Linked DNA regions of Chlamydomonas reinhardtii. The protein of the gene in region 2 binds, or shares a complex with, the protein of the main gene of each other region. Links are inferred from orthologs where the notes say so. Each region holds a gene or a part of one and is shown on either strand. Other genes may lie near its edges.

Region 1 (5,990 bases), on a different chromosome or scaffold from region 2:
GGCGAGGGTGTTTTCCCATGCACACTTCACCCCTGTTACTCAGCAAGCAGTACCTGTACGCATTACCTGCTCAGCACAACACTCCAATGAATGCGCCAGTACAAGAAGGGGCAGTCCGAGTCCCATGCGTCTCCTTTCTGCAGGGATAGTCCGAATCCTATCGTATGCGCCTACTGGTACACGTCAACATAAAGCGACATACACTATCACACGCCCCTCCAGGTTTCATCCTGCATATACTGCTGGCGGCGTGACATGCTCCACCCCACGCGACCACGTGGTAGCCTGCTGCACGTGTCCGACTGCCCCCCCCCTCCCGTGATCATCGCCCCGTCACCCGTGTCAGCCAGCCCCCTGCCGCCACCACACACGCACTGCTGCTTCTGCTTCTGCTGCCCTGCTGCTACTGCGGCAGCGACGCCTCGATGTGCTGCCGCAGCTTGTCGGTTGTCATGCGCGGCGGCCAGCGGGGCAGCCGGACCTGAGGCAGGTGGGCGGGGCGGGTGGGTGCGGGATGGGGTGGAGAGGGTTGAAGGGGGCAGCGTTTGCGTGCGCGTGCCCATGCAACCATCACGCAGCAGACAGGTCAGGTGCAAGAGCTACATTCACTCACGCACGTACCATCAACATCATGATACACGCTGCATGCCAGCGACAAGCCTAGAGTCATTTGGGGAGTCCATCCCCGCGTTCCGGACCGCCCTCTCCCCTAGGCATACCGCCAACCCCCATTCCTGCTCGTGTACCCAATCTGACCCACCTCTCTCCCGTCTGAGCCCGACGCCACCAACACCGGCACCTGCAGCGGCAAACACACACATGCACACGCGCATATGCATATATTCGAGCCCGGTTACAAGCGCAGTAGCGGCGCCTGTCGCAGCAGCGTCAGAGGCTGGGGCCATTACGGTACTCAGCTCCGGTGGCCACTGCGCTGACAAGCTCCTCAGGCAGGGAGCGGCGGCTGCACGCACACACCGGGTAAGGTGAACACGGGGCCGCACACACACACACACACACACACACACACACACATACACACACACACACACACACACACACACACACACACACACCTCCATCTCGTACACGGCCCAGGCGGGGTTGGTGGTGATGTCCCGTTCCTGAGGAGGAGGGGGGTAGGGGCGGACGGACGGGCGGAGGGGGTGGGGGCGAGGGCAGATGGGCAGGTGGGTGCCGGGATAACGCCACGTGCAACTGATCTGCAGCTGGTGCACAGGGCTGGGCGTCATCCCATGCCCTCGCGCTGGGTTAGTCAGCAGGACTGGTTGCGCAGCGCCACACCACGTGCCTCTGGCCCCACTGCCCCCCTGGCCTACAACTCGCTGTCGCCCCTCCCCCGCGCACATACTCGCCTAAACACACATGTTCACAATTACACACACACACACACACACACACACACACACACACACACACACACACACACACACACACACACACACACACACACACACACACACACACACACACACACCTCCAGGCGCCACTCGGCGATTGCGCTGGGCATGAATTGCGCGCGGTCGATAATGCCTTGCACCCGGTCCTGTGGGGGTGGCAGGTGGACGGCACTAGGCGCACGTGAGGAGGGAGGAAACACAGGGCAGGCTGGGTACTTTTGTACATGGGCGTGTGCCCGGAATTGGGTCTGGCCATGGGAGTTGCTTACGGAAAAGATAGGGGGCGCCAGGTGGCTTGTGGGGGCAGGGCACGCGTAGCGCTCACGATTGGGCCGCGAGCCACTGTTCCAGTGTGGGTGTTGGCCCCCGGAACCCCTACACGCGGCAGTACCAGCACGCAAAGCCGCTGCTCACCCTCGTCCCCTCGCAAAGTTCGCATCCTGGTTTCGTGTACATGGCGATGACCTTGCCGCCGCTCGCCGCAGCTTCGGCCACGACGCACGCGGTGAGCTGTCGGCGGCGAGCTGGCATGCTCAGACCCGGCAGGGCATGCGTCCGATTGTAGACGCATGCATTCCTGCTACTGGTGCATTGTCGAGACGCAAGCATAATAAGAGAGTTTTCCACGGAGACGGACCCGAGTTTGGTGCAAGCAAAGTCTGCGAGTAGTTCAGCGACCGACTATGGAATGATGTAGTGGAAGTTTGGTATCATTATAAGTGTATTTGTCGATCCAATTGGGGAATGGCGACACCACCCGAGTCGGCAAACAAGGGTTCTAGCATCACGTTTTCTCATTTACAGCAGGCAGAGCCACTCCCGTTTACACATAGTCACTGTTACTCACCAGTGTGTTTGTTGCATTTACAAAGTGCGCGAGCCCTCTGGCAAGCGAGCACGCCGCTGTGCGCAGACTGCACACTCGCGACGCTTTGACAGCAGCTGACTGTCCAGTGTCTAGATTAGTGTCATCTATTTGAGCTCATATATTACCGCGTTAATCGGACGAGCGACTGAACATGGCCCTTGCTTCGCGGACTTCCTCCGCTGCCGTCGTCGGCCGGTACGCCGCAGCCCCAACTGACTCTTAGACTCACATGCGGACCCCGAGCTGTTGTAAATGGGCTCGCGCACAAACGTGCCGCGGTGCACGATCACCAACGTGACGCCGAGTTTGGTGACGCTGCTGTGGCAATTGTAGGTCGACGCGGAGTGCAGCTGTTGTGCCTGTTCGGTCCATTGCTTCTCGCTGCCAAGCGGCGCGCCCGGCGCGGCGGGCGTCCGTCGCTGTCCGGGCTAGTAAGTGGGGTGGGTGGGCGGGGGCAACGTGCCGGGGGTTAGCGGAGATGCGGCGAACGGCCGCACTCTTACACGCTCAGCCAACACAGTCGGAGGGCCGATACTCTACACAAGAGGGGTAGCTGGCTACACCTGTCAGTGTAATGCTGCGAGGTCCATGCATGCTTCCGGACAAGCCAGCCAGCAACACACAGCTGCAGCGGATACCGTGTGCGGCACTTCCCGCCAAGGCACCACAGCCACGCATGCCCTTCATATCCCTCTCTTACTCATACACACTACTACATACAAGCTCCACACACGTACCCACCAACCATCACCCCCGCCCCTGCACCCCCCCTCCCAGGCGACGAGAACGGCTCGGTGTCGGTGCGGCGCGCCACGTACGCGGAGCTGGAGTCCATCCAGTGCGACCTCAGCGCCTTCCCCGGCGTCAAGTTCTTCCGCATCGAGGTGGGGGGAGGGGGGCGACTGTGTGTGTGTGTGTGTGTGTGTGTGTGTGTGTGTGTGTGTGTGTGTGTGTGTGTGTGTATTTGAAGGGGGCATGTGGGCTGTGCTGCTGCCGCTGGCTGGGTGCACTGACAGGGGGGGGGGGGGCAGGGCCAGCAGTGCCTCTGGAGGGCCAGCAGGGGGTTTGGCCTGCTGCTGATGCGGCGCAACCACCCAGCCAGCCACCCCAGCCCGGTGCCTCACACATGGCTGTTGGGGTGGTGCCTCCGCACAAGCCATATACCAGCTGTGTGGGCAGCTGTATAGGCAGCTGTGGGCAGCTGGCGGCACCTGCCGCGGCTGGCCCTCGCCACGGCATGCGGGGCTGTAGGCTCGGGCTATGGGGCATGGCTGAACCCCCCCCTCCCCCAACCGCCCCACCGCCCCACTGTCCCGCTGCCTGCTCAGGCCATCTTCCGGCCGTGGCGCCTGCCGTTCGTGATCGACACCCTGTCCAAGTACGGCATCCGCGGCCTCACCAACACGCCCGTCAAGGGCGTGGGCGTGCAGGTGGGGGACTGCCAGAGCTGAGCGGGGGGCTGCTGGGATGAGGGGAGCGGGCTGCGGGTCTCCGCAGTGGCAGGTGGCAGCGACACACTTGGGGCAATAGGGCAGTGGGGCAGTGGGGCTGGCCAAACCGCCTCCGTGTTTGCAGCGGTGCTGCTGCTCTTCCCTTCCGCCCCGGGTGTGTCGCCCGCTCACACACTAGCTCGCTCACTCTGTACCTTCCCCCTCAGGGCGGCTCCCGCGAGCGCTACGCGGGCACTGAGTTCGGTCCCTCCAACCTGGTGGACAAGGAGAAGCTGGACATCGTGGTCAGCAGGTGGGGGGCCGGCAGCAGGGGGGGAGGGAGGGGGCGGGGGGGCCTACGTATGATGAGAGCAGCAAGAGGAGGCAGCAAGCCCGGGAGGGGGGCTGGATGCAGGGGCGCATGCGGAGGCTGCTGCGCGGAGGCTGCTGCGCGCTGCCCGCCTCAACTGAAGGGGATGTCGTGAAGGCTGTGCAGCGGCCGCCGCAGCCCCTGCCCGTACCGGTACCACACCCCGCGCCCCAACACACAGCCCAACACGCCCTCACCTCCACATCCTTTCACACGCCCCATCTCCCGCCAAACACACACGCACGCGCACACACACGCACGCACACACGCACTGGTCTCCCCCCCCCCCGCACAGGGCCCAGGTGGACGCGGTGGTGCGGCTGGTGGCGGCCAGCGCCTACACGGGCGAGATCGGCGACGGCAAGATCTTCGTGCACCCCGTGGCGGAGGTGGTGCGCATGTGAGTGGCGGGGGCCGGGGGAGGGAGAGGAAGACAGGTACAGGGCGGGGATGGGGCAGGGGGCGGGCGGGGGCGGGCGGGGGCGGGCGGGGATGAGAGGCCAGAGCGGGGTGGTGACGCCCATGTCCTAGGCAAGCTGGCGCACCGAGGGGAGGGCTGGAGACGGGAATGCTGGCAGGCCCAAGCGGCCTGGTACCCAAGTACCCACCTTATTGGTGTGGGCGGAGCGAGGGCAGGAACAGGGACGGAGTGGGGGCGGGGCCAGGGTGGGCGAGTGCAGGTGTCGCGGTCAGGTGGGTGGTGGGGTGGGTGGTGGGGTGGGTGTGCACCAGGCGCTGTGAGAGCTGTGGCGGGGCCTGCAGTGCGGTCGGGGGGAGAGGAGCGGGGTGCGGGGCGGGACAGGGCCAAGGCACCCGCTGCCATCTGGCCACACACGCCGTCACCGGGCCAGACCCCGCGTCCTCGTCCCCTGCTCGACCCGCCACCCCCTTGCCTTCGCTTGTCCATTTCGCTGACTGCCGACACCCGCCACACCCGCCCTCCTCTCTGGTTGCTAATCCCTCGTTTCTGGCCCCCCTCTGTGTCTCCCCCTCGCCACAGCCGCACTGCCGAGACTGGGCTGGAAGCTGAGAAGATGGAGGGCGGCATGGAGGACATGATGAAGAAGAAGAAGTAGAGCGGGTGGAGGAGCTGCAGGCGGAGGCGGGGGGGGAGCTTGAGGGCGGGAGCAGTGGTGGAGGAGGAGTCCGGCTTGAGCTAGAGGTGGACTGGGGGACTGGGGGGCTGGGGGACTGGAGTGGGAGGCGCGTGCAGCATACTGCACGTGTTGGGGTGAAGGGGGATTGGCCGCAGGGTGCACGGGGCGGAGACTGTGGCGTGGGGTCACTGCGGCGGGTGCGGGCGGGACTCGAGCCGATGACTGCGCTGGAAGCGGCGAAGGTTGGGGCGGCAGGCAGAGCTGTGGCGGCCGTGCAGGGCGCTCGGGGCAGTGGTGGGCCGCTTTGAGGAGGCCGGCACGCGGCAGGCCAGGGGTGGGACCGGGTGCGTGTGGGCGCAAGCGCGCAGGCCGCTGGATCGATGGGCGTGCCGGGGCGGATCTTGCATCAGCAGCGTGGGCGTGTGCTGGAGATGGGCGTGTGTGCAGACCTCGTCAATCAGTGCTGTAAATACAGGACACCGGGTCTGCTACTGCGGCTACTGCGGCGTGGCGGAATGCACTGATGAGCTATAACTGTGAGTACCGCTGTACTGCTTGGGTTTGCGTAGATGATGTAGTGGGCAAGGCCAGTCCTCGCGCGTTGCGACTTTTAAGCTCGCGGTCTTAGTGCGGCAATGGCTACAACAGGCGGCCAGGTAGGGCCAAGTCAGCAGTCTCCGCCCAGTGCACGAATACCCTGTGCAGGAGGTCTTGCAGGTGCGAGCAGCACATCACTGCAGCCACTCCCACTGCGCCGAAGGGCCCGTGGTGGCGTGCCGCCCGTCGGGGGCCGGGTGCCCGTGA
Region 2 (5,990 bases):
ACTTGCAAGCACCCAGCCTACCGCAGCGAGAATCAATATTAAGCATAGCTGCTATGCATCCAATATGTCTCTCTGTCAACACTGCACAACAAGCAGGGCGTGGCGACGGCCCCGAACGCTGCGTAGCGACTCACCAGCAATTCGCGGTCCAGTATCCGCTGTATGCTTGCCCTAAAGCTTTCGATGGCCTCCATCTAGGCTGAAACAGCGAGGCCGGGCCAAGCAAGCCCGCCTCTGACGCCTGTGCTTCTCGCCTCGCCCAGCAGGCTTTCGAATTCACACACGATCAAGTGGACATCCAGAGAGGTATTTGTAAATGGCCATGAAGGCAACAAACCGGCTGAGTGCTAGTTTCAGACATCTCGGCAGTCTTGCGTGCTTGCTCGTGATATACTATTGGAACAAATGAAACGTTAAAAACCAACCATCACAATAAGTTATCCGGAAACGTAGGCTTCCCGGGTGCAATGATGCGGGCTGGCGCACGTCCGTGACCCGCCGTAACCCCCGCGCTTCGCACCTTAGCATCACAACAACACCATGTTCCAGTGTCGCGATCACCACGGACAACTATGCCACCGCACCTGCAAGCTGCAAATGCTTCTTCCGCTGCGCCGTTTCGCTTTCGCGAACAGGGGCATCCCTGTTCACGAGGGCCAGGGGTGCCCCTGACGAGGGCCCACCGCCTGACCAAGCCTGACGTCGCGTGGCTGGCGCTCCCAAGCGATGCGACTGAAGGCATCCTAGCCTCCTGGTCCTCCGCACAGACGAGCCATAAAGGGCAGCCCTTGCTGGACCCTTCCAGGCGCGCGGCAGGCTCTGCCCCAGGGGTGCTGGGCCCAGGCTTCACGGCAATCCCATGCTCACGTGTCACCACCACCGATCCCCGACAACCCTCCCATTGTCTCGGTGTGCCAAGCCGCCCACAACCAAATTAGCACATGTCTAATCTAGCCGGTGATCATGGTGCCCACGCCCTCGTCCGTCAGCAGCTCCATGAGAATGGAGTGGCTGGCGCGGCCGTCAATGATGTGCGCGGCCTTGACACCTTGCGACAGGCAGCGGATGCAGCACTCAATCTGCGCACACACAGGGCAAATGCAAGACAATTCAGAACTGACAAAACATTTCGTTAGGGGGGCAGTGAGCCTAGTGGTGCGGCATGAGAGACTGCGCTTGTGGGGCAGTCGCTCGTGGTGCACACACACTTGCAGACGTGGCACGCAAGCTGCTGGTTACTGCCCTGACGAGACAGTGTATGGTTCTTAAAAGGCAAAGTTGCTTGTTGCGCTGTAGGTGCTGATGTATCATGGCCGGCCCGACCATGGGTGCCAGCCTCTGCAACACGTCGTGCAACGAAAGGCCCGTTGTGCAGCCTTCTTTGTTGACTGGCATTCACAAGCGCTGCTGTCTGTGTAACTGCTTCTGGGTGTAAACATCCGCAGTTCGGGTGTACCTGCCTGACCAAGCAACCCCCCGGCCATGGTATGCAGGCCGCGACGCCCTGCGGCCACCCTGCGGCCGCCCACTGGTCCGTTTGCAATCCATGCCACTGGCGACCCTCTGTCCCGCACCATGCAGTTGCATCTGTCCTCGCATCTACGCATACGCACCTTGGGAATCATGCCACCAGCAATGACGCCGTCCTGAATCAGCTCGCGGCAGGAGCGGATGTCCAGCGCCTGGATCTTAGTGCCGATGTCGTTCTTGTCACGCAGCACGCCCGGCACGTCCGTCATCAGCACCAGCTTCTCAGCCTTCAGCGCCGCCGCAATCTGCGAGGCCACATGGCGTGTGCGCCAGCCCAGAAGCGTCCGCAAGCGTAAATAGCAGCATCAGCCACCCAGGCGACAAGCATGAGACATGCACCGGCGTGCCCATATGCAAAGACCAGTTGCCCAGCAAACCCTTTCTTAGTATCGTAGCTGGGGCCCAGGCGTGTCAACAGGCCCACCCGCCAGCGCAATTGCTTACAACTCAGCAACTGAACCCTTTTAAGCTCCGCCCACCTCGCCCCGGCGCGCCTCGGCGCTGCTGCCGCATACCCACCTCGCCGGCGGCGGTGTCGGCGTTGATGTTGAGCGCCTGCCCCGAGTAGTCGGTGGCGATGGTGGCAACCACGGGGATGTACTCGTCCTCCACCAGCACGTTGAGGATGGTGGGGTCCACCTTGGTCACCTCGCCCACGTACCCAATGTCCAGCTCCACCATCTGGCAGGGGGTGAGGCACAGCCGGTCAGCCCAAGGCGTCGGCCCAAGTATCGGAGAGACGCCATCCACTCTCAGCCGGCTTGGCGGCTGCGTGCGGCCGGCCGCGTGCTGCTGCCAGCGCTTGGGTGAACGCGGCCGACGTACCATTTGCCATGGCCTTAGCAGAAGTAGGTGTATCGCCTAGGCAATCGGCCTAGCCTGCATATTTCTCCCATCCGCTATTCCTTTCAGTATCCCGCATGTTGGTGGACACTTAGCGCCCGCACGAGCGCGAACTGGGCACCAACAGAGCCTGTTCGGCCGAAGCGGCCTCAAATCCATCTGTCACAAATTCCCGTCAGCCGCAACCTACTCCATGGTCCATACCGCTGCGCAGCCCACACATTTCCGCGCCGCACCTGACGCGCCCGCAGCAGCTGGCCGTCCTTGCCGGTGAGGCCCACTGCCTTGCCGCCCGCCTGTTGGATGAGCGACACCAGCGACTTGTTCACGCGGCCGCCCAGCACCATCTCCACGATCTCCATGGTCGCGGCTGCGGGGTCGGGCGCGGGGAAGGGATAAGTAACGCCACGCGGACGCATATCCCCGGTTTCGAGTCTTGCTCTTCAGTCTCGTTACGTCATCCGGCGGCCGCCGACTAGGATTTCTCCGTCATTGTCCTGCCCTTCGCAGCCAACGAACGAGGCAGGCTGCGCACCGCCTTGAGTCGCCCTACACGAAGCCCGCCAGTGCCCTGCCCCAACCAGGCGTAACTGCATCGCGGCAGCCGTAACGCCGCTGGCACACCATGCATCCGCTAACCCAGCGCAAAACACAAATATAGGCCCTGAAGTTGAACCGAAAGGAATCTCCATCCACATTATGCCGCCCTTTCCAGCAGCTGCGCTACTAGCCCCGTGGCCCCTCGTTGCGGTGTGGCGCACCCACCATCGGTAACACGCAGGCCGTTCTTGAACACTGCCTCGATGCCGACCTTGGCCAGCCAAGAGTTGATTTCAGGGCCGCCGCCGTGCACCAGCACGCACCGTATACCCACGCACGACAGCAGCACCAGGTCGCTAATCACGCCCGCCTGAGGTTACGAGCAGCGGATGGCAGCATAGCACCAACACAAACAACACAAAACATTAGCGCATGCATATTATGTAAGAGCAGGCCAGGAACTGTGTCGTGCGCAGTGTCGTGTGGGGTGCAGGTAGGGCGCTCGACGCGGCCGGACGGTTGAAACGGGGCGCATGGGCAAGGCAGGGCAGGTCGCGCTTTCCTTGGGTGCCTGCCACCCGCTTCGACGAGTACTCGACGAGTACGGGCAATCATTGCTGCTGCAACTGTACATGGTCAGTGTAGCACTGCATGCTCCCTCTGCATGAACCATTCTCCATGCGCACGGTGCTTTAAGAACCGGCAACACGCATGGGCCCATCCGCTTGACCACTCCCTCTAGCGCAGCGCCACACGCATACGCAGCCTCCCACCTTGAGCGTGGGGTCCTTCATCGCCGCTCCGCCATACTTGACCACGACGGTCTTGCCGCGGAACTTTTGGAGGTAGGGCAGCGCCTCCGACAGAATGGTCACGCGGTCCAGATTCGTCAGCTGCTTCCTCAGCTGCGGGTGTCGGCACAAGACGAGGGGCCCCGCTTGAAACTAGGGTTGGGTCGCGTGTGGAGAACCTCGTGTTCAGTGGCCGTCCACAGAAGATCATGCGCACGAGTGAGTGCGGATAAGTACCAACTAGTATGCGAGGGCCGCCAGAAGCGCTCAAAGGCGAGTGCACGTGCTAGGCTCCGCGGCAATCGCAAGCTTGCGCACCTCGGCCTCCTCAGCGGTTGCAGCTGCCATAGCGCGAACGTAAATGCCATGCTTGCGAGTGGGCCGAGACGCGCGGAAACCCGACACAGAAGGCAGCCCGGTGACGCTGCGGCGAGTCGTCACGCTAGGGCTCGTCGTCTTGGCCGCGAGCAGCGCCATGGTGCCAGCAAACAGTAGGACACAAGAAGTAGCCTAAGCTGAGACTTGTTGCGTAAAAGCCTGGCCCTGGCTCAAGCCCTGTGGAATGATCCTTTGTAGGAACGAGGCTACACTATCCAATACTACACGGTCTTGTCAATCGTACAATGCATACATAGGGCCGCAGCAACCGGTCGATACATTTTGTCCGGGGAAAGTGCATGCAAGCAAAGTGCCCATGCACAGTCGTCACGTTCTCGCCCCCGCGCTCTTCCATCAGCCCTCTCGTCATTCCTGCTTCCTGCTGCCAGCCCTTGCCTCACCGGGGCGTCCCCCTGGTCGCGCCTGGGCCCCACCCTGGCTTTGCGTCTTAGTTCTCACGAGACTGGTGAGTGGAGGAACCAACAGCCCTTCCCCTAGGAGCACACACGTGTCTGTTTGGTGGTATCGCCTGGCCGGGCGCCCGAGCGTGAGGAATGCGCGTCAGCAAACTTCCCGCCAGCCAGCAACTTGTCGGTACAGTAACTCCGGCGTTCGACCAGCCGCGCGCTCATGCACTACCGTAGCAAACTGTTTGCCATCTGCTGGGGTCTGGGCATCAGCTGCACCCTACAGGCGGGACTTCACCAACCTGCCTTAACACTGTCCCATCGCACCCATATGAGCACGCACACACACGCACACACATACACACACACACACACACACACACACACACACACACACACACACACACACGGGCGGGCTTCGTTTTGTTGTTTTCTTTTCAACACACACACACACACACACACACACACACACACACACACACACACACACACACGTCCAGCCGTTCTGGATGCGTGTACTTTGCACGTGCGGCGTGCGGCGCGGCAATCCTTGCAACTACCAACACTTTAACTGACACACGGGGATCACAAACGGGCTTCCGCGCAACTGTTAACGAACAGGGGCGGCGGCGCGTGGCGTGGTAGTTGGCGCGCGGCGCGAGTGGGAGGTGGTAGTTGAGCGCGCACGCGTGTGAGAAGGTGCGGCGGAGCATGGTACGGTGGAGCACGGCTGAGACTGGCGGTTGGGAGTGAAAAGTCGTGCGCGCGCCGTTTGGGACCCGCTTTGGTGCTGTCGTCAGCTGCGTCGGCCTGCTAGGCTCGCGCTTGGTGTGGCTTGTTGTGGGTGGACGTGTGGTGCCTTCGACTGCGCTTTTGCGCACAGACTAGCTTTGCGTTGGATGTCACGGACTAGCGATGCCTTATGAGCCGCGAGCCTTGTGATTGTCGGGACAAGTCTCCACATTCAACACATGCGCACTGACACAGCTGGGCTCTGAAGCGCTGGTGCGCATGAGTTCACGTCTAACAAGGCTGCCGATGCACATTGTCCATTCGTCACGCGGCAGAGAGTTGAGCGCGGGGTGGTCTGGGTCGAGGGGATTCCATGGATAGGATCCTGCGTGTGACCGAAGCCTCAGAACAGGACCGCTGATGGCACGGAGTGATAGTGCTCGTCAAGAGGAGTCGATTGACACCACTTTGGTATAAAATGGAGGGGTTTTAACCCCTGAACAACAAGGTTTTGTCCGTCGGGGGGTCGGTCGTCCCCTCAAGGGGGGTCCCGGGGGATTTCGGGGCATGGGGTCTGGCACTTTGTTTCCTACCCCCCCCCTGGTCAAGCAGCCCGCACCCGCGCGGCGGTGAGAAAGCAGCGGCAGGGACGCGCATTATATTGACTTGACATGCGCGAAGAGCCAGGGGGGGTAAGAATAACAGAAGCCCATGCCTGAAAATAACGCTGGTACTTTCAGTTGTGGGGCTGAGCCCGCGGAGCGAAGCG

What was found.
Region 1: the proteins of CHLRE_01g015000v5 (region 2) and CHLRE_07g357350v5 are in contact, whole or in part, in a crystal structure (PDB 2RD5), measured with the Arabidopsis thaliana proteins. The link is inferred for Chlamydomonas reinhardtii from reciprocal best matches to the Arabidopsis thaliana genes NAGK and GLB1. Residues at the interface, in NP_191315.1 of Arabidopsis thaliana: Arg195, Glu208, Val209, Ala210, Arg211, Val212, Glu251, Ala254, Ala255, Ile286, Lys287, Lys290, Ile310, Arg311, Ala314, Gln315, Gly316, Gly347; in NP_192099.1 of Arabidopsis thaliana: Arg82, Trp84, Arg85, Gln88, Arg118, His119, Gly120, Gly121, Ser122, Glu123, Glu153, Thr157, Glu159.

The regions. Positions count from the first base shown.
Region 1 is NC_057010.1:6,338,182-6,344,171, forward strand, and holds the start of CHLRE_07g357350v5 (uncharacterized protein), read left to right. Parts: upstream 1-2,241; 5' UTR 2,242-2,440; coding exon 2,441-2,484; intron 2,485-2,622; coding exon 2,623-2,720; intron 2,721-3,066; coding exon 3,067-3,173; intron 3,174-3,617; coding exon 3,618-3,719; intron 3,720-3,946; coding exon 3,947-4,032; intron 4,033-4,384; coding exon 4,385-4,489; intron 4,490-5,089; coding exon 5,090-5,165; 3' UTR 5,166-5,990. Other genes in the region: CHLRE_07g357300v5 (uncharacterized protein), read right to left, coding at 404-481, 761-799, 1,077-1,124, 1,499-1,567, 1,836-2,030. UniProt on the Arabidopsis thaliana protein: Participates in sensing carbon and organic nitrogen status and regulates some steps of primary carbon and nitrogen metabolism.
Region 2 is NC_057004.1:2,574,106-2,580,095, reverse strand, and holds the start of CHLRE_01g015000v5 (uncharacterized protein), read right to left. Parts: upstream 4,324-5,990; 5' UTR 4,182-4,323; coding exon 4,023-4,181; intron 3,819-4,022; coding exon 3,687-3,818; intron 3,284-3,686; coding exon 3,139-3,283; intron 2,744-3,138; coding exon 2,610-2,743; intron 2,212-2,609; coding exon 2,050-2,211; intron 1,776-2,049; coding exon 1,614-1,775; intron 1,080-1,613; coding exon 951-1,079; 3' UTR 1-950. UniProt on the Arabidopsis thaliana protein: Involved in the arginine biosynthetic pathway via the intermediate compound ornithine.